3 linked regions of the Bombyx mori genome follow. The protein of the gene in region 3 binds, or shares a complex with, the protein of the main gene of each other region. Links are inferred from orthologs where the notes say so. Each region holds a gene or a part of one and is shown on either strand. Other genes may lie near its edges. The genes, in order: ribonuclease 3, enhancer of rudimentary homolog and microprocessor complex subunit DGCR8.

What was found.
Region 1: the proteins of microprocessor complex subunit DGCR8 (region 3) and ribonuclease 3 are in contact, whole or in part, in a crystal structure (PDB 5B16), measured with the Homo sapiens proteins. The link is inferred for Bombyx mori from reciprocal best matches to the Homo sapiens genes DGCR8 and DROSHA. Residues at the interface, in NP_073557.3 of Homo sapiens: Asn728, Ile731, Leu732, Lys734, Leu735, Gln736, Glu738, Met739, Lys740, Leu742, Ala743, Arg746, Arg750; in NP_001369437.1 of Homo sapiens: Leu984, Leu987, Phe988, Thr998, Tyr999, Thr1001, Ala1002, Ile1003, Gln1005, His1008, Phe1069, Asp1073, Leu1074, Glu1076, Val1077, Trp1078, Asn1080, Pro1082.
Region 2: the proteins of microprocessor complex subunit DGCR8 (region 3) and enhancer of rudimentary homolog are in contact, whole or in part, in a crystal structure (PDB 7CNC), measured with the Homo sapiens proteins. The link is inferred for Bombyx mori from reciprocal best matches to the Homo sapiens genes DGCR8 and ERH. Residues at the interface, in NP_073557.3 of Homo sapiens: Lys107, Phe108, Ser109, Pro110, Asp111, Leu112, Leu114, Leu115; in NP_004441.1 of Homo sapiens: Val8, Pro10, Thr11, Thr18, Tyr19, Ala20, Glu27, Lys34, Met35, His39, Arg42, Met43, Phe60, Leu64.

Annotation. Positions count from the first base shown.
Region 1 is NC_085124.1:7,732,297-7,739,808, forward strand, and holds the start of ribonuclease 3, read right to left. Parts: upstream 4,318-7,512; 5' UTR 4,055-4,317; coding exon 3,099-4,054; intron 2,234-3,098; coding exon 2,152-2,233; intron 1,037-2,151; coding exon 832-1,036; intron 582-831; coding exon 428-581; intron 1-427. UniProt on the Homo sapiens protein: Ribonuclease III double-stranded (ds) RNA-specific endoribonuclease that is involved in the initial step of microRNA (miRNA) biogenesis.
Region 2 is NC_085129.1:16,203,899-16,211,348, reverse strand, and holds the start of enhancer of rudimentary homolog, read left to right. Parts: upstream 1-2,691; 5' UTR 2,692-2,960; coding exon 2,961-2,963; intron 2,964-3,043; coding exon 3,044-3,229; intron 3,230-5,155; coding exon 5,156-5,278; 3' UTR 5,279-7,450. Other genes in the region: breast cancer type 2 susceptibility protein homolog, read right to left, coding at 1-529, 1,490-1,753. UniProt on the Homo sapiens protein: May have a role in the cell cycle.
Region 3 is NC_085122.1:14,193,643-14,201,233, reverse strand, and holds the start of microprocessor complex subunit DGCR8, read right to left. Parts: upstream 4,389-7,591; 5' UTR 4,178-4,388; exon of another isoform or gene 3,996-4,177; 5' UTR 3,181-3,995; coding exon 3,169-3,180; intron 3,097-3,168; coding exon 2,844-3,096; intron 1,903-2,843; coding exon 1,774-1,902; intron 1-1,773. Other genes in the region: BRCA1-associated protein, read right to left, coding at 6,708-6,863.

The sequences.
Region 1 (7,512 bases), on a different chromosome or scaffold from region 3:
GCAGTGTAAAGTATGAAGTATCAAACATCGTCACTACAAAATCCATCATATGCAAGTCAAGTAAAGAGCTGTAGCTCTGTAGTGAGATCTATGACTTACCCACCAACAAGAAGGAATAAATATGCGAAAGAGACCTAGTGGGTTAAGATTGAAGAACAAGACAGAAGTACAAACTCTAAAATTTCGTTCTCCAGTTTCTGTCCAGAAACAATCCAAGCTTCCAGTTTGGTCTCAGCATGTATGTTCCGATGATAAGAGATGTAGTGATATTATGGGACTGCATGCCAGTCTCACTGTCGCACATTCTTCATCATTCACACTCACCATATAAACATTATCAATATTATGGTGCGATTTCGTACCAGCACTAGTTCATCATTTAATCAATTTGAATATAAAATCTAAGTACTCTTAACCTCGAACATACCACATTTCAGGGTGCAATCTCCTGGGATGACTCTGTTTCCGCTGTAGCTCTAGCATTATCCTATCACTATAGCCCTGCAAGCCCTCTTCATCTAAACATCCGTCACTTTCTGATGATGATGACGATGATGACGACGATGAGCTTTTTTCATCAACTGTCAAATACATATTTTTTTAATGTTACATTTGTGCCTTCCTAGAAATTTGTACCTAGGTCAACCTGATAGTCACAGGTTTCTCTCATTCATCAGTATTCCTAATCCATTATACAATTCTGTGAAAGTGTGATTGTGTATTTTATCATTGACACATTAAATTAGTTTTATCGGTCACCCTGTTGTAAATTTATCTATTAATATTATATAATATTTAAAATAAAATAGAAATAGGTACGTAGGTACTTACGTTTATGTTTGCACATTTTCGATTTAGGTGGCTTTAAGGGTGGGAGCTCATCAACCTCAGGCCTTGCATTACGTCCCCTCTCAATGAGTTTCTTCATGAATACTTCACAAAGTTTCTGCAGTTTTAAAGTTTGTTCGACTCCCTCACCATTTTGGACTTCTTTGTAATAGAGCTCAGCTGGTGAACTCCTATACCACATTGACGACTGTAAAAAATTTGTTAACCACTGATTAATTTCACTGTTCTTGGTACTTTCGAAATTGGCATTGAATAGACTAATTTATGTACTCTATCAGAAGTAGTGGTAAAACATTTTTTTATGGCTAATTGCCTAATCTGTGCCCGCGATCTACGCGGCTGGACGATGCACTATTATATGGAACTGCTGTAGACCCCACTTATAGATTCCCCTGTACTGTCGCCTAAAGATCCAATCCTTGCCCCAAAGAATACCCGGTAGAGGTAACAGGGGCAACCGCAGTCAACACTGCAACCAGTCGCGCACCGCTGCAACCGGTCCACCACCACAAGGCTATAAGTCAGCCAACTTGGTCGGCGGTCCCTTAAGCCTCCCAGGCTTTGTTGAAAGTTTTCTAGGGAACAACGCTGGACCAGAACCAATTTGTCAAGTCGAAGCTCAAATCACCACCAACTGGTCGTTCTTTAGTATCAAACTATGCAGCCTGCCAGAGGGGTGGTAGCGCGCTGTGCGACCTCGTTTCCTTTAATTACCCCAGACAGCTACCAAGGAAGCCTGGCCTATACCGGGAAATAGTGATAAACAATGGCAAGTTTTTTTTTGCGAGATAAACGTAAATAAACAATATTTATGAGAAATAATATTTGTAAGTGTTAAATCAAATTTTTCCAATAAAAATTCAAGTTACATCTAGTTATGATAGTTTAGTGTATTTTGTTAATTTACAGATTGCACGATAAACTTTAACAACCGAACTTTGACTTCTTCTCCTGCGGTTCCTAACTATTAACTATATTAACTAACAGTTTTATGAAACAATATTCAATATATGATTACGTTTTATATATTGAAATCATATGAACTTCCAAAAATATTCCCCTAAATTGGAAACAAATTTTGAAAAAACTTTAAGCAAATTTTTAGCAAGAATTTGTTCGAAAATCTGCACAGAAACAATATAATATGTTATGTACAATATAAATATGCAGAAATAGTTTTGGTACTACTTAGTCAGTAAAGTTTTATTTTAATTTAAAGGAAAGCATTAGTTTTACAATTTTACATAATCTTAAACTGTAAAGTCACATGCCAGGATTTTCTTAAATATATAAAATACTGACCTCTTCTCCTTCAGAAAGATGTTCTTTCGACCACTGTTCCATTTTCTGTATAAAATCTTCAGAAGTTCTACAGTAGTTTTTCCTAAAATTAAGAAAATTGTCATACAAATTAATGTGTAAATAAATAATTAATTAAATGTTAGGGCAAATACACTTAATTTATTAACTTTAAAAATGCGAAATTTAATTGTAAAAGCGAGTTTTTCTTATACCACTATTAACTGGCCATAATAAATTTAATCCAGACACGAATGTGTGTTCATCTTTTTAAGATTATCAGAAGAGGCAGATACTGTTCTGTAGTACTGAAGAAAAGTTATTTAGAAAGCCATCTACCTCAAGAAATAAAGTGAGAGTTATAAATAATGATATCCTAATACTAGTATTCAAACAGAAATTAATGAATGTCTTAGGAAAAAAATAGCTAATTCAGTGGTTTATCTTTCGGACTCACAATATCCAAGAAAATATGCATATATTTCATTAGTGTACCTGTAAACCAACCAAACGTTTTTAATAATAATATGCAAAAAATTGAAGCAAAAACTGTTGAATTAAAAGGTGGTACCAAGACAAAAAGAAAAGTACCTGCCCATGGAATGTTGCACTGGATATTTAGAGAACCTAAGAAGGGTTGATGTTAAATTGGCAACCGATCATAAAACTAAGGCCAAATCTCTATGCAGCATAAGCGGACATGCAGCATGAACCCCACACTATGTGATATAAGGGCAAGAAGAAGTGCACCAGTGAATCATAAAGTATTCAAGAAACAGAACTAGACGCTTGCCAGAAGTGCCAAAAACTACACAACCTTTCAACTCAATTGAATAAACAATAATATGTGTACACTGTGGACTCAGTACTAATTTAAGTTCTTTAGTTTTCATTTAACAATTAAGTTATTAAAAGAAATTTCTACTTTGACATCACTTTAACATAATTACCTATATTCTTCCAAAATCTTTTCACGATCTGTCATTGGTTTGCCTAAAAGTGATTCTTGTCGGTGAAGTGACATTTCTCTCGTCAGACTTTCTCTATTGGACTCCCTACTAGGAGAATGCGCCCTTCTGCTTGGTGATCTATCCCTACCTTCACATCTACTGTGGCTTCTATAATCTTTGTATTGAGATTCACTGCGGCGAACATCATATTCATATTTTCTTCTACCATATTCTCGTCTTCCTTCATAATACTTTTTCTCTCTCTCCATGTAATATCTTTCTTTCTCTCTTTCTCTATAGCTATATCGAGAAGGACTTCTGTTTAATTTTGAACTGTATCTTGGTGGACTTCTAGAGCAATATCTAGGACTATGACTTGTCGGATTCCTCTGTTCTCTATCTCTATCCCTCTCCCTCCTGCTCCTATCAGAATATCCATGTGGAGAATGTCCTATGTGAGGGGACTGTCCCCTAAAAGGAGAATGCCCTCTTTGGGGAGAATAGCTATGTCTTGATGGTTCTCTCGAATTTCGATAGATTTCTTTTTTTTTATATGTTGTACCACACAAACCATGATCTATTCTAGTTATACCAGAACTCGTATTACTCAAGCTATTGGATGTTTTGTAATTCCACGGTAGATAATCATTAGTATCTCTGTGCGATTTGGATGCTTGGTAGGAAGATACTGGATGTGGTGGAGGGACAGAATGTATATCAATGGTGGGCATAAAGTTGGGTACAGGTAACTGTGGAACAGGAGCTGGAGGCATGCGTGAATGAGGGTATGGTACTGGCGGTACTGATAGCATCGGAAGTACTGGTGGCGGTCTGGTATATAAAGGCATTGCTCTCGGAAAGATAGGCGGGGGTGGGTGGGGTGGTAACGGAATATTAACTGGAAGCCTCGGAATTGGCGGAGGTGGAACACTGTAATCAACTGGAGGAATAGACATACTGAAATGTTTTACTGCTTATCGACACATACAGTTTTTTTTTTAATTAAGAAACTTTAACGTGAATAATGATGAATTACTTCCGTATACATATTCAATCCAAATGTTGAAAGATAAATCCAAGAGTATTTAATTAATTAATATTTAGATTATTTTGAATGAATGTCTATTTGAGTTTATCAAATATCATTTTTTTTTAAAGATTTGATGACCTGGTAACTAAGACCTTTAGGTTAAGTCTTAATTTAGCTATCAATCAAAGTAAATCTCAATAGAGATAATTATCGGAGATAGACTATTAAAAAAATCGATTTTCTCCTCAAAATATATCGATATTTTTTTTCAAAAAAAGGTGGATTGCTAATTCGACATAAGCCAATGAATTTTTGGCGCCTCAAAGGCCCCTACAACATAAAGAAAGACCAATTTAGAGGAAGGCGAAAAAGAAAACGAAGAATTACAAATTACATTTGACAATAAACAGTATGGAGAAAATTTACATGTAAAAGGTTAACTACTATAACTAACTAACTGGCTATATAGATAAGCATGTTTCATTAAAGATGCCTTATATGAAAGGTCTTTAAATGATCTCAGAAAAATAATCGAGGGCGAAGTAAGGAGTAGGGGCATCATCTCAGTGTACTAAAATGTCCGCTGAAAGGGAACTAAATAAGGTGGCGCCATAGACGTGGAGAGGACGTGGAGCTTACAAAGCTGCGCCATAAACTACAACACTTCACTCTATTTAAAACTGATATATTCAGATAATTTCCACTTTTTTTTATTGCTTAGGTGGGTGGACGACCTTACGGCCCACCTGGTGTTAAGTGATTACCGGAGCCCATAGACATAGGGCAACCGTTATAACTGTACTGAGACCTTAGAAATTATATCTCAAGGTAAGTAGCGGCATTTACGTTGTAGATGTCTATGGGCTACGGTAACTACTGACACCAGGTGGGCGTGAGCTCATCCACTCACCTAAGCAATAAATAAAAAAGACATCTACGACGTAAATACCGCCACCTACCTTGAGGTATAAGTTCTGAGGTCTCAGGTTTTACAGTACAATTGCTGCCCCAATCTTTAATCCGAAACGCATTACTGCTTCATGATAGAATTAGGCAGAGCGATGATACCTACCCGTGTGGACTCACAATTTGACCTACCATCAGTAAACCACTTCGTACACTACTGCTATTTCGATGAGTCTTCCTATAATAACTTTATGTTTACAGATGGAAACTTTTTTAACTTGTCGCACAAGATGCTGCACCTTACCGTTACTTTCCGTAAGTAAAAATCATAGATCGAAAGTACAGTTTCTATAAAATTAAGAGAAAACTATAAAATAATTTACAATTATTTTTAATTCTTACGGGTACTTTGAATCTCTTCATTTTACTATAACAGAGAAAAGAAACGAAAATCAGTTTTCAGAGCTTTTTTTAGAAAGTAAGGATTACTGGTGGTCCGGTGCTGGTTTCACCGAGACAGGTGGTCGGGCAAAAGCTCAGGCAGATTTTGGTTTACGGAAGCGGTCAGATACGCAGGATATATTTAGGTGCGCAAACGTTTGCGCTCACGCAGGCGCACACCCTCGTCCTATCCCTTCTTGGATCAGTGGAACGGGAAACCGCTACGACTGAAGAAGGGGTTGGATGTTGTGTCTAGCCGACGATGACTATATGCCCTCCACCATCGCCCTAGGCCAGGGGTGGGCAAAAGCCGGCCCGCGGGCCGGATCCGGCCCTTCTGCTAATTTTATCCGGCCCGTTGAAAAATTCCGCACATAAATTTTTTTAAACTCTTATGAGATTTTGTTGACATCAGCATTAAAAAAGCATATGCGGTAAAAAAGTATATGCGGTATAGTCCTCCGGCCCGGGAGACATTTTGAAAATTACATTTTGGCCCGCGCTTTAAAGTATTTGCCCACCCCTGCCCTAGGCCATCCACCTTGCCTTGCTGACCTGCCGAGTCCGCCAAGTCACGTTGCATATCTGCGTTGTGTTGCCTTCCTCGCCAAGTCAGACTTTGTGTATTAAGCGGAAAGGAAGCCGCGTGTAGGGATGGGTATTAAAGAGATGAGGAGAAGAGGGAGTTAGGAGTAGGAAGGACAGGATACTGTAGCCACGGGAAAGTAGGTTGTGGTCTATAGTAGCTCAGGGAAGGCGGTATCGAATGCAATAATGAGACTTCGATCTTTAATACTAACTTTCGTTTTGGTTTACACGTATGAAACGAATCTGTGCCTTAAGGATATTGCGCTATTTTAATGTGAATCGATTCTTTGGACTGTCACTCGGATCTATAGATTGATCAAATATAGTCGGATTTTTTATTAGACGAAGTCAACTGACGTTTACTGTGTTGTCAGTTTTTGATGAAATAAAAATAGTGTTGTGACAAAGTGAACGATTGAAAAAACTCCTGAATTAATGAAATTGCCTCGATTGTCTAGTGAACAGTTGGTGTGCCGAATTGCCGATATCGGGTACGGGGTTCGAATTTTAGGCGTGCTTTGTACATACCAACGAGTTTTCGACGAAATATTATGTTCCTATAGTATCTACCTGTACTGAATACCGAGTGTTTTAATTAAGAAAAACATTGCGAGGAAGTTTGTAAGACTGTCATATTTCTAATACATCATATAGTTGAAATTATAGATGTATAAAATATAACAATTATAGGTAGGTAATGAAAATAAAAAAGCTGATTGTAGTTACATACTACTAGCAACATATATTGGAGCACTTTAATACAATTTTATTGTAAAATATAAATAATACTCTTTTATAGTTTGAAATTAATGATTAACTCTTCACACTCATTGTTCATTTGTGATTGAACGAGAACTGAACGCATCACTATTACTTTAAATATAGCAACATTATTTCACAAAGTGACATTAGCTACTGTCAGCTAGCTTCGTCTAATTAAAAATCCGACTATAGGTACCTACCATGGAGTTAATAAGTACCTACAACTGGAGTGCTGTCTAATGCCGAGAAATCGGTCTCGAAAGAGAATACTTTTTGGTCGCGGTGTCCTTGTCTAATGTGGTGACCATATAAAATTTATTTAAAGGACAAAATTATACACATGCATCAGTTTTGAATTTACCTTAAGTAATTCTGTGTAGCGCTATGTAAATACAAAACACGTGCTTGCAACAGTTTATTTATGTAAATTCAATTCTAAACATTTCTTCGTCGTCATGGTGACTTTTTTCGACGGTTTTTTTAGAAATTGCTTCGTAGTCGTAAATCTAGCACTGAGTTTTTTACAAACATCATTACCTCAGTTCTATTACTTAAACTTCCTCAAACTCATGTTTAACGTCCGAATACTCAACCGCGACTTAAATATTATGTTGAACTTAATTACGCAATTCCTACTTTAATGTACTGGCTAAGTGGGCAGTGCAAATTAAGATTTGACACACTGAG
Region 2 (7,450 bases), on a different chromosome or scaffold from region 3:
ATAATTGAGAGTTAATCAGATGTTTGACTCTGTTTAGATCTTTGTTTTCTTCGACAATGGGAAAGGCTATTCTCTCAAACCTTTCAAACTTCTCCAGGTCAAACACTAATGGCAGTATTTTATTGTTTTTAAAATTTAGCACTGGACTCGGTGATCGGCTTTCTTCTGCCACTAATGTTTCGGAAACTTCAACTTTGTCCATTTCAAATATTTGACTTTTGAATATGTTATCGTTTACTTCAACAGTGTCTGTCTCATCATTCACACCAATTGATTCCGCACTCTCCTCTAAATCATTTAGGAGTGAACTCTTATCATTATTATCTTCCTTACTTAGCACTCCTCTGTGATTGTCTGCTGTATCAGTGGTGTTACCGTCGCCTATCTCGGCAATTACGTGATGAAGAGTTATATTTTCTGGTGTTGAAACTTTCGTATCTGGATGCTCCGCATTCTGCACTAAGGCAATCAGTTGAGAATCAGACACAAACTGTGTTTCAAATTGGTAAATATTTTCTTCATGTAATTCCTGAAATCATGAAACCTCTTTCAGTGTTTTAATAATGTGTTAATTTTCTTTTATTATTAATTTTATAAACAGTGAACATTCTCATGACCCTCCAGATATTAAGTCATTACCAGAGTATGCGGCATTACTGCATAATTTTTTTACAAGATGTCAAAGCCTCGATTACTAAGAAAATATCTATGTAATTCTATTGGTTGTAGGGTGTCTTGTGAGCCCACATGAGTAAGTTTCACCACCCTGTCTATTACTGTTGGAAGGCATACTTAACAAATGTTTACGATTGACTTCCACAGTGAATAAATAACATTGTGTAAAAACCAAACCTGCAAAATTATAATTTCTGTGATTACGTGGTAGGAGGTCTTGTGAGTCTACTTAGGTAGGTAATACTACCCTGCCGATTTCTACTGTGAAGCAGTAATGCGTTTCGGTTTAAAGGGTGCAGCAGCCATTGTACTGTACCTACCTTGTGAATAACATCTCGAAGTGGGTGGCAGCATTAACATTTTAGATGTATACAGGCTCCAGTAACTACTTTACACCAGGTGAGCTAAGCTTGTGCACCTATCTAAGCAATGAAAAAAAATCAAACAAAATATTCACAGTAGAACTCATTCTGATGTTGATGTACAAACTTACTACTTACAGAACTATACACAGGGCATATACCACCTTATGGATATTTGGATCTAAAATGGCAAAATTATCTGGTAAATTTAGTTAACTATTACTTTACTTAACTTTTAACCTTTTAACTTTTACTTGTAAAATTAAGAAAAAATATGGAAAAATAGCAGGGCTCAAACAATTTGGAGAAATTAATTGAATAAAGTGTAATGCTGCTCAGGACAAATAACAGATATGTTGGCAGCAGAAGGCAAGGGCTGGGCATTATTTACGTAAAGAATAGCTCGTTTTCTTATCACTGTAGGACTTTCTGACCTTGCAATATATACTGACCTTGGGATAATCTGGTAACTCAGCCACAGGGATAAACTCCTTTTTCGTAAAGTAATTATTAGTTGTATTATCAACTTTGGTCAAATTATTCGTATCAGCTTTCTGAATGGCTCTCATCTGTGATTGTACAATCTTTATAACGTCCCTTGGTTTGCTGGCCTGTTCTCTATCGCGAAAATCGTGTCCGTATAATACTGGTGTTCTATTACGTTTGTTTCGTAAAATTAATTCAAAATCTTCAATTTCCTTTACCGTTTTTTCCATTTCGATTTTTTAAGCACTGTTCGCTTAAATTACACTATGATTATTGATATTCTGTAACAAAATTGTCCTCGCATTTTGTGTTTACTTACAAATAAAATGAAATTATTGAAATAAAAGATGTTTTGAAAATAGTTTGAGCGAAAAATCCAACACATGTCAAAAGTTTTGACTTACTTATGTTAGATTTTTCAGTTTATGTGTGGCCATTGTCACTCGATCCTTTAGCCTATTTATTTTTGTTTTTTACACAACACACGTCATAAAACAAAGTCTCAAAATTTTGAGACATAAATGTGCACCTATTCCCCTATTTATTCTAAAGATAAGCTACCGGTAAAAGTGTAAAATAGCTCTTCGGTTTTGATAAAGCCGAGTACCACGCAACAAATTCCCAATGTGCACAATTCTGTTACTTTTAAACGATGTTATGCGAATATGCAACCATTTACATGTTTTTATATATTTTCAATATTCGTTATTTTATAAATCTTGTAAGAGCAAAAGCGAAATAAGTACCGTGATATCGTGGGATAGGTATGTTATTTTGATTAAGAACTAATAAATCAGTTGACTTTTTTTCACAAATTTTCGAAGCAGCCATTTGTTTCGCATTGAAGGAGTTGAGACTCTACTTGATTTCTCAAAGTGAGCCACGGAGGATACCCTTCGTAAGGTGGACAGCGGAATTCACCTTGTGAAATCTATGGTTCCCAATAACCTCACACCAATTAACCAATTCACACATTTATGCAATAAAGTGAACGTTAAAATATACCATACTCTTTAATATAATTTAATTTTCAGGTACAAGACCAACCAACCAACAAAATACGTTTAATGTTTTGAAACTATGAATTGCTGGCTCTATTTGTTACAAAACAGATAAAAAAATGATTTTTGATCGAATTTTTTATCACATTCTGGAACATAAGCCTTTTTTAAATTAAATGAAATTCAATTTTAAATATATATCAATTATAATTAAAATTATTATTAAAATAAATAATGGAATCAAAAAACACATTTTCGAACGTGTCATTAAAATTTTTAGACCCTAATATTTTGATGAGCTTTTCTGTTTATTTCTGAACGAATAAAGTTAGAAGCGCGATTTGATGGCCTGATAATTCTCGAAAGAATCCTGTCTGTTTATAAATACAACCGATCTTTTATATTATTTAATTAAAATCTTAAAGATCCTTTAAACATGGTACGTTCAGTTTAATTTTTACTTAGTAACGTTGAATTTCTGGTCCAAAATATGGCGGCAAATAGAGGTTATGATTTCAGAGTCACACAATTTTGCTGGTGCAGCCCGGTCCGAGGCCCGAAACCAGGACTTACTCAGACTACGAAAGCGTCAACGACTGCATGGAGGGTGTGTGTAAAATATATGAGGAACATCTGAAAAGGCGAAACCCTAATACACCCACTATCACGTACGATATATCACAACTCTTCGATTTTGTAGACCAGGTATCTAATTATTACTATATATACAATTGTATTGAAATGGAAACACTTGAGAAATGTGACAGAAGCATTGAAAGAACCGGCCTACCTTTTGATTATTAGTGAGCAGTGTAGATCACAAATGAACATGCTGTATTAATCTGAAAACGACTCGGAGAAGAAAGATTAAAGAATTTGTTTCTCTCACTTTCTTGACCACTTAATAATTTGACTTGTTGTTATTGTTTGTCTCTAGTATTTTGTAGAAGTCTACTTATATGTATAGTAAAAAAAAAATTACTATTTACAATTGAGATTATTGATACCATCACTTTCAAAGGAACAGTTTTCATTACATTTAAGAATGAAAGGCTATTTGAGTTAAGCAACATTTTTGCAACTTTACAGGAGAGCCATTTAAAGTTTAAAATTTAGAAAAAATATCATAACAAAAAAGCGTCTTCAGCTATTTGAATGAGTAAACTTAAAACATCGAACAGTTGATGCTAATACCAAATAAAACATTACCTTTAATTACAAAAATAATGTTGCGTATTAAGCAAAACGTCACTTAAGCCTTTCACCCCTCAATATGATAATCGGCTAATTGGTTTTCAATATGATAATTTCAATATGTTACAAAATGATAAAAACCCACCTATTTGTATCATCCTTAAGATTTTTGCATAGATACTGATGTGTTACTTATCTACCTAACCCAGAAATCTGCCTGCTGAGTTACTTCCCAAGACTCCTCAGTGATCCTCATTTCTGATCTGGTAGTAGATGCATTTGCGAAGCAGCTGCTCTTGAACTGTTTGCTTATCAAGCCTGGGCAATTGTTAGCGAATTCCACCCCTCCTGGCTGAGCCTACACTGTCCAACCTATCCTGGTGATACAGGAATATCATGTATCATGACTATGCCTCATCTGTTAGGTAGAAGATCTCATTAATCATCTGCATTTTTTGTCTCCTAAAGTTTAGCTACTCTTTGTTAGCTATTTGCGTAATATTGACAAGCGATGGACTACATGGCCTACGTTTTCTTAAAATATGATCCATACTAGAGATGAAACTGATATCCGGTATCTGGCCTATCCGGCCATGATTTCACTATCTGGCAGATCTGGCCATGATTTCACTATCCGGACGATCTGGCCATTATTTCACTATCCGGCCAGATACCGGATAGTAATTCAGTATCCGGCCAATTGGCGATCGTTTTTTTGATGATGACATTTCTTTTCAATTCAAACATAAAATCACAACGACGCGCATAAACAAAAACAAACTCACACGCGCGAACACTCGAACGCCCCCGAGTCGTCGCGAACTCCGCTCACGTGCGACAACACACGAACGCGCACGAATGTTTCCGAAAGGGCCGAATATCCGGTAAATGAATATCCGGCGCTCCGGCCTCGCAGCTTGCCGAATATTCGGTATCCGGTATCCGGCCAAACTACTATCCGTTTCATCTCTAATCCATACCATCTAATTTTGTCTACTTTACATTGCTCTTCGATTATTCATGTAATGCCCAAATTGATTCTAAACTCAGGACATGTTTTAGTACATGCACAACTTTTGTTTGCTACTGATTATTTAATATTCTGGATCTCAAACTGCACCTCCATCTCTTGTAGGATGAGTCTGATCTTGTATTTAATTTTCAATCTGTGTTTCATCAGATAAAAACAGTGGCTAGCTGTGAATGAATTCATAATTTTATTAGTGATAACCTAATCTCTGAGTAATTTTTAAAGAATTTCATTGATAATAAATATTCTTTAATATTAGTTTTCATGACTGATGTTGTGCCTTCTTATATAAAAGCAATAGATTTCAATGTGTTGATGTCTATCTGGCTGCAATCATTACATTTGCTGTTATGGTGCATTATTTTGTTACGACTACATAATAACATAACTTTTTTTTTTGTTTTCAGTTGGCAGATCTGAGCTGTTTAGTTTATCAGAAATCTACAAACACATACGCACCCTACAACAAAGATTGGATAAAGGAAAAGATATATGTTTTATTGCGTCAAGCGGCCGGACAGAGTGATTAAGATTATAAAAAAAACTCAACATTAAGAACACCGTACAGTGTAAACTTGAAAAAATACATAGTTGTGTAACATAATACAGTAAGAGAGAAATTATTATGTTTGGAAAAATTCTCTGATAAGACTCTTTAATGATCAAATTAATCTATTTTATTAGTGAAGTTCAACATTTAGCACTGTTATTTATGTAAAATCACCTACATAACGTGAAAACTATAAGTCCATCCCACATGCAAGCAGTTGTCAATGTATGTACATTATTTAAACCTATATTTGACACTTTTGTTGTTTTTTTAATTTCATGTAAAATACAGACTAGAACAAATAGTGTGCCTGCTTCCTCTAAAAAATTAGACTGTAATTGATTTAAGTAAACTAACTATGTCTTGAAGTCGATTAGTTGGTTAGGCTTTGCCCCTAAGGATGGTTGCTGTATTTTTTATAACCTTGGAAAATATATTTATGTTGTTAACAGCAGCTTCACCAATACGTGTTGTTTGAGGCAATCTAGAATTCATATATTACATTATACAACATTAATACAAATAACTAAGTCTACTGGTGACCGAGTTTGTTGTAAACCCTTTAGTGTAGGTAATATCATCCTGCCTATCTTTGCCGAGAGGCAGTTATCCGTTTCAGTTTGAGGGATGGGTCAACCGTTACACAATACAGTTAAAACTTTGACTTTATGACTCATAGTGGGTGACTGAATTCAGGTGATGTTTACGTGCTCTGATAAATGCTTTACACTAGGTGGACTCGTTGACCCATCTGCAGGGTGAACCAATATAGTCTTTTTACTTTTGATACATTAATTAAAAAAACCTAAATAAAGGAGATAAAAACTGTTTGCTTATTATGATTAAACATGAATATGTTTTTTTTTATTAGTCAAGATTCACCCTTGATTATATTGACACTGCTGTCATCTAGTTTTTTTGTGAAATGCTCTGCACATCCTTGCAAATATTGCTTCAATTCATCAAGAAACACGAAACTTCACTTTTAAGGTATCACAATAAAAAAATCGGGAAGGAGATTAATGCCAGTTAATGTTACTCATTTTGAAGTTCACTTTATGCTACAGCTACCGATGCAAAAGTAAACAAACTTTTGTTCCACACTGTACATAAGCGAAAATGTTTTTTTCTATTTAGCACATTAACTAATTAATTTGAGAGTTATTATCCAATATGGGGTTTGGAAAATGTTCAGAAAACTGTAAAAAGAGTAATAAATTCAAGTGGCCTGTAAGATTACTGTAAGAGTACTATAATTTAATTATTATGATTTATTGTTTTAGAGTCATTATAACTTGTATAGTTAGCTGATCACATCATTGACGGGCAGCAAAGGGTGGTTTTTTTTTTTAAACTAAAGCAAACAAGCAATAGATAATATCTTTTCAGATAACAGTAACGAATCATGTAGCAATTTAAATGGTTCATTTGGTTTCGGTGCAGTTTGTCGAACTCTGCCTTTACAAATTACTCAAAACCACATTCTAATGATACGGAAAGTTTGTCAGCTTTGGTTGGAACCACCGTACAACACATTTCTCCCACAAAGCAATAGTGTTCCAGCTTATGCATTTGAGACATTGCTGGTAAATATTGATCCGTTGTCTGTTTTTAGAGGCAAATAAATAGTCAATTCATCCATCAGACTAAATGCTATCGTGAAATTAATTCTAATCATTTTTCAAATTGTATTAGACTAAAAAAGAATGTAAATGATAATGTCTCATGATTAGTCTATACATGATAGGCAGGATTTTTTAACAAAGCAATTGATAAGTAACTGACAGATTGCTAGAATTAAAAAAAATAAAAGAAGTTATTGGCCAAGTTAGATTTAGCAATACCTACCTACCTAACTTATATTGAAGAAAATTCATAAACAATATCTAAAATAAGTATGTAATAAAAATAATTATTGGTGTTCACTGCCCACCATTTCTTGTCAAGCTTAGTGAGCGAGTGAGGCCTTGGTAATAAATAATAAACCGATCTGGTGATTTATCAAGGTTGAAAATAATTTATGTAACTTTTGAATTAATAATAGCAATTGGGTATTTGACTGCTTTAAGGATACGTTTAAAACTGTTTAATGTTTTTGTAGCTCGCAAACTATTTTTATGAAAAATCAATTTTAAAAAAAACAATGTTATGA
Region 3 (7,591 bases):
GTGACAGTCATCAAATTGACTTTTTATTTAATTATGTCGGTCACAGCTTTAACTACTCCAACTAACGTTCTCGCTGCTAACATGAAAGTATAGATAGTTTACTGTTAGTTAAAATTTGCAAATCATTTACATAATTGATGTTATTTTCTTTATCAGTATTGTTGACTACTTTACTACCTAACACTGTATATATATATATGGTTTCATTTTGAGAATAAAGTTTAAAATATTACATTATTAGAATATTATAATAATACTAAGTTGATAAATACTTACTAAAGACAATAGACAAACGGAGACCTCAATATTTTTGAACCAAGACTCAAGGGATTTGTCAGTTGTGTGAAGGATAGGAGGAAGGATATCCTATTTAACAATGGCTAGTTATCGATATTGAATGTGTGAGAATTAATCTTCATGTTATACCCTGGAGAGGGATGAAATTTTGTGTTGGTTGTATTGTAGTTGTCTACATACGTGGATACTTCGTATTATTTTTTTTGCTTTTTTTTCCCCTGGAACTCGTAATTTTATTTTCAATAACCAATGCAGAGGCTCGCTCGCTATGTACATTAATACAGGTTTGCTTAGTGCATATATTATTTAGACTGCAATCCAGATCAGACTTAGGTACTATTTGTACGATTTAGTTAATATGTAATGTACTATAATTATTGTGATTTGTTTTGTACATCAATAAAATATATATAAAAATTGAATGAGTTTGAAAAAAAAAATGTGGGGCTATTAAAATTGGACAAAAGTGTAGTTTGCTGCAGTGATGCGCGTGCACAACACAGGGAACCAATCACAACTGACGGCAGGTGACGTGCCGCGGGTAGATCCAATCACGTAATCAATATGGCTTACGCACCCCCGTTCTTGCCTCGTTCCTCCAAACAGACCCAAAAATGGACTTCTGCGCATGTCAAGGTCAGAGCTCAAGACTCGTGCCGACTTATAAACTGTACAAATCATTATAAATTTCACAATACAGTAATAGTAAAACGTGCAAAATGCCCGCGTTATATGGGGTATACCCGTGTTATACGAAGGACTGAATTCGCGTAATATGAAAATCCGTTATAAGAGTACCGTGTTATAAGGGCTTAATGGAAGTGATATAACAGTGAGTGCCTATTTGGTGGAGTAAAATGTATTCAGTGCGCATTTAATTCGTATAACCAGTAATAATTCAGATATCACTATTCGCATCTTTTAATATATGTGGCCAGCCTTAATGTTAACTACGAATCATATTATGATACCTTCTGTAAAACACAGTTCAAGGGTTGGCGGAAGAAGAGGTTGTTCGCTAAGTACAAGTACTCATTATTCCAAAACTATTTACTTCGATTATTCTAATAAAGAACTACCTACAGTTGTCGGCTTGACGCACCCTCTTGAGGGACACCCTGTATCTGATATACTTTTTAGATAGTTGGTTACGACTGAGATTTGGGGAATAAAAATATCGTTATGAATCAATGAATCGGTCACCTACCAATTTAAAATGAAACTGTAAAACTAATAGTAATTAGATGGGTAGGAGCCTGCCTTTTACAAAACACTGCACCGGTATCACACGACTCCCATATGCGATAGTTTCATACAATTGCCCATTGGGTGCATGGATACTGTGATGTGATTTAGACTATAAGAGATAACTTGTGAGGAGCCCAATAAAAACCATCTCTCACAATTCTCATGACAGGGCAGTGTCACCAAAGGAGTTATTGTATTGCCAGTGTTTGTTGAAGTCAATTAACTTACCTTCTAAAACAATTTTCTTTCCCATAACGTATGCCTTCTCCTTAGGTTTAGGAGCACCCTTAAAGCCCTCCGGAAGATCTTCATCTAACATTTTCTCTATTTCATCTTCGGGCACACCTTCTGATTTTCCTAAAATATATTATTAATTAATAAAGTAGTAGACGACATTGTAAATAGTTACTTAAAATATACCTATTAAGTTAGAAAACAATTGACGAAATCATCACAATTTAATTGGGATTTTGCATAATTATCATGCCTATAACACTTCCTTCTTAACTATTCCTACAGTAAAGCAACCATGCATATGGATTCAACATTAGTATACTTGAGCCTGTCGCCCTTCGCATCAACATTGGTGTGTCTATGGGTCTAAGAATGAAAGCTCATCAATCAATTTATGCTAATAAAAAACTTTAACCTTTGAATCTACATTAGTTGCAAGTGTTTTTGTATCTTAACACTAAGTTGTCTGTCAATATCATATATACATAATTACTGTAGTAGGGCATGCTGTGAGCCTGAGCAAGTAGCCATATCAGCCCATTTTTGTTACAAAGCAGTTAGGTGTCAATTTAAAGTGTGGGCAGCTGTTATACAATACAATGGAGGTTCAACCTAGACATGTAATATTATTATAATACCTCATATTTTTAATGGGTGACAGTATTCACACATGAGATGTCTATGTGCTCCAATAATCACTATACTTCAGGTGAGCCATGAGCTCGTTCATCAAATTTTACTATATAGACAGAATGCAGGTAAAATACTGCATTATCTTTCTCCTAAGTTGTGTTAAAACCTTGAGTATTCAAAATTGTAATGTTTTCACTCTGTTGTGTATTCTACCATTATCAATTACTCTGTATAGTAAAAGCAAGAATACTTTTTTATTGTATATCCGGTGAACTGATTTGACCTATCTACTATTTGTTATAAGGAATCACTTGATTTTTATTTTTGTGGGTTTTAATTTTTTACTTCACATAACACTTCTAATGCATGCACTTACTCAATATTCAATAGATTCAAGAACAACACCGAAACATAGTTAATAAGGAGCCTACCCTCAGTGGACTCTGTATCCTCGTCATTACTATCTTCTTCGTTGGACTTCACCTCATCTAGAACTTTGAATTCCCGCAGCTGCTGCAGCTCAGTAGGGGTCACATAATCAGTATATTTATCAGTACTTATCTTAAAGTCTTTGTTATTATCTACAATGGACACATCTTGAGTGAAATCAACATCTTCTACCGAATTGTCCACCTTTGGCTTCTTCGCTGGTGGCATATGCTGATCTTCCTCATTCATTTTATTCTGTTTAAAAACGTGCGTTCATTGAAAATGTTTTTAATGAAATAGGAACACATTAATTTATCTTCAACATACCATGTTAGGCATAATCCATTAAATTACATAAACTAAGATACACGTTGATAACAATAACTTTACAATTCTGACACTAATGAATTTTACACATTACTTTCAAACTGCTGAAAAATAGCTATATGTAATAAACCTTTTTACTCTTGAGAGGTTTTCAATAAAATAAATTTGGAACAGTCCATGTTATAAAATTTATTTTATATCCTGATTTTAGCAGACTTAATAACTAGATATTGACATTCTCAAAAAAAAAATCAAAAAAATCTTACTATTAATTTTTTTGTTACTAAACAATGATGGTAAAAGAAAATAATGCTCTACAAAATGTCATTTTTAAAATTCATCAAAAATGTGCAAATATTCATTTGCTAAGAAGCTACTTATATTATTTTGTGTTGCATTCAATTTCTAAATTGGAGTAGTTTGAGGTGCATTTCTCAGGATTTTTTTGTATTACAATACTCAAATCAAATAGACATTTAGAGGCACTTTCACCTCAGCGTACAGAAATTAACTAAATACCCAAAGTGATGTAACACAGTCCACAGATAGCGATGGCACTTAAAATCCTATGTGTTCCAACAGTTGGATTTCAGCCATCACTTGCTGTAAACCTTAGTTAGTAGCGGGACCGAGAGCAAGACGTGCAAAGCGGCCATGAAGACTTCAGCAGGATTGCGACAGACCAGAACCTCTGATATAAACACCGAGTCTAGTCTGTAGCAAAACCGCAACGTTACAGGACGACTGGACTCTATACCTCCTTAACCGCTCCCGGGCAGACGCGTTCCTGTAGAATTTCTGTTGCTATCCTTCAAAACGATCAAACACTGCATTAAAGAAAATGCAAATTATGACCTGGTTATAAGCGTATGTATTCACGATACATATTTCGACAAAAACCTATAAGTATGTAAATCAGATGTGGCTTGGTGATAGCTTATATTCATTGTTAGAGACAGTAAATTTCAGTTTCATTACTAGTACCGTACGTTATGTGCGAGATACTTACGCTCGTGACTGAAAAGGTTAATCAATAATCAATAAAACATGTATTTAGGGAAATCTGATAAACTTATTTTGCAACCACACACCGTCGAAAACGGCTAGCGTGTCTGAGCACTTAGTAAAATAGTGTTGAATGAATATGGTACCGTACCGACTTTTAGGAAATAACGATAAATTTTCAGAAGACAAGAGCTATCCTCGTTTTTTTAGGGAACTTTATGACCTGGTAACTAAGACCTATAGGTTAAATCCTCAATTTTTTAAGGGATTTTACGACCTGGTAACTAAGACCATTAAGTCAAGTCTTATTTTATTTGTAATGAAAACTTTTTTATATAAAAAATGATATTATGAAATGAAATGAAGTTCATTAATATGAAACATGGCATGAAATGGAATGAAACGAAATGGAAACGAAATGAAATGAAATGAGATGAGATGATATGGGATGAAATATAATTTCAGTAAAATAGTGGTCATTTACTGAAATTTTTCCAGTGGGCTTTTTGGAGGATCCCGAGAAGTCAAGCCCAGCAGCGTTGTTTCATTTTCCTACATTTGTGCACTTTCACAGATATTAAACAGTTAATAAACCACCATTATTACACATTTAAACCTGAAGAAACACTAAATAGACAAAATAAAACAAATCACACAACTTCACTCTCGCGTTCCCGCCAAAAAAAACTACAGGCTACAGACTACCTAATATATTAATTTGTGCAAACTACTAAGAGGTGCTTACGCATAAATAGTACCATGTGCACGCATGCATATGAAGGGTAGACCGGTCATCGTCCTGTCGAACCCGTCGCTTGCGACGAAGGGCTCGACGAGTAAATTAACCCTCAGACACAGCCCACTGAGTTTCTGGCCGGATCTTTTCAGTGGGTCGCGTTTCCGATCCAGCGGTAGATTCTGCGAAGCACGGCTCTTGCTAGGGTTCGTTTTTTTTTTTTTATTGCTTAGATTGGTGGACGAGCTCACAGCCCACCTGGAGTTAAGTGGTTACTGGAGCCCATGGACATCTACAACGTAAATGCGCCACTCACCTTGAGATATAAGTTCTCAGATCTCAGTATAGTTACAACGGCTGCTCCACCTTTCAAATCGAAACGCATTACTGCTTCACGGCAGAAATAGGCAGGGCGGTGGTACTTAACTGCGCGGACTCACAAGAGGTCCTACCACCAGTAACGTGTTACTACGTGTTAGCAACGTCATCAGGTTTGAGCCCCGTGAGCTCACCTACTAGTTAAGGCTACGCTGATATAGCCTCTCAAGGCACTCAGCTTAGGTAGGAAAAAAAGAAATGTACCATCTTGTATAGAGGACAAGCAAAAAAGTGTCTACCTGTAAACAACAAATTATTGTTGTAAGACTCACCCAAATAGCGCTAGTGGAGGAAGTGGAAATAATATGAGTATAGCAGTTTTAAACAGAGTGCAGTGTGCTTGAATTAAATTGAAGTGTGGTTAAGGCGCTGTTTTTAATCGTTCTACTTGCTACTATGGCGCCACCTTGTTTTCTCTCTTTCAGCGGACACTTTTTACACTGAGATAGTGCTCGTTACTTCTACTCTCCTTAATAGTATGGGTATATTCAAATCACAGATAGAATCATATATAACACACTTAACAGGATAATAGGACAGAACCTCTACGTGGCACCCGAAACAAACGACGTACGGATTTGAAATTCTATGTTCACTAATTAAAGAGAAATAGAAGCTGTTCTATATGTGGTCGTGGTGCGCACGAACTATTCGCCATTAATCTGAGACATTACACGAATAAACCTAAAAAACAATTAAATTAACTTGTTTGATCATTAAATTATGACCTCAATCACGTTTTTCTAAGTTTGTGTTCATATTGCAAGTGCACCCAGAGGCACTGAAAGCTGTCTTTTGGCCAAATAGCAAGATTTGACTCGGACACGAGCGTGGCTACGTCGAAGGTCAAAATACTTGAAAAGCATGAAGCGAGACAATTCGCTACGAAGGAAAAGCAATCCAAAGTAGTGATAGAGTGGCATATAGTACGGTGAACTAAACTGACTACTAGTGCGTATTAGATCCTGGTGAAATCGAGTCAATGTGACTAGGTATCGTCAGTTTGGTGTAATCTGTTCAATAGTTTGCGTTGAGAACCCCAGTCCTGGCAATACAATTGCGTCTTCGAATTCATCATATAGGTACATGTGTGTTCAATAGTCAATAGCTTTTACTACATGAGATAAAACTTAAGCGAATGCAAGGATTAGGGCCAAAAAACATACAAACACTCTTTTTTATTTATTTATTATGTTCTTCATTTCAGAGCTAGTTTAGAAACAGCATTGGAACAAATAAATTTAATTATCTCAGCAAAACACACATATGTAATAAATCAAGTACATAGTCTTCTAAACATTTATCACAGAATTTTTCATATTTACATACTAATGTTCAAGATTACAAAGGAAGGTGTTGGAGCTCGCGGCGGGGCGGGGCGGGGCGCGACGCGGCGGGGCGCGACGACGGCTGCGTGGCCCTACCGGCGGCGGCGGCGCGGCGCGGCGTGGCGGGGCGGCACGGTCAGCGTGGCGGCGGCCAGCTCGTCGCGCGACACGGCGTCGGACCGCTCCAGCTGCGCTCGCGCCTCCACAAAGAACATCACGTCGCGGAGTTGCTCCTTCAGATCGCTGACCTGCACACACGAACACTCAGTCCATGAGAGGCGGATTTCCAAAGTTGTGGTGGAGTTAGGGATAACATAACGAATTACAGACTAACCATAAGTTAGTAGCAACTTAACATCATCGTTATGACGGGTGAGCTTCCCCAGCGCCCCTGTGCTTAGTGGTTTGTGTTCACAAAAGATCTAACAAAAAGTACATTTATCGAGATAGTCCTCTAAAAAAAGCAGGAACTACAGAATGGAGTTTAGGGGAAATCTATTTCCATTTATTAGGTCTTTACATAGGTAAATATTGTTTCTTATAATAAAACGCTTAGCGAAAGTATAAACCAATATTAGTTAAATAACTATCGAACGTTTTATAAAATTCTTACGTTCTTACGTTTCTCTTCTAACGTTTTGTATCAAAATAAAAAAGTCCCATTACTCCTATGCCCTGTTCCCACCAAAAGACAAATGCCGTTATAGTGTGGGCTCGCTGACGCGGCGCTGTGCTGGTGTTACATCGTCCCGTCCTGAAGACTTGTTCAATATTGTCTCCATTTTTATAACGTGCGAAGATAAATTAATTGACAGCGACTCGTGGGACCCCCATCCCCCGCCCCCCCCTGCCCCCCGCGCCGCACGATGGTGCGGGTATACAAACCCAAAAAACCTTTCTTTTTTCTATTTAATCAAATCATCCAAACTTAGCCTACCGGACCAGTTGTCTCGAGTGTCACCGCGGCGACCTCACC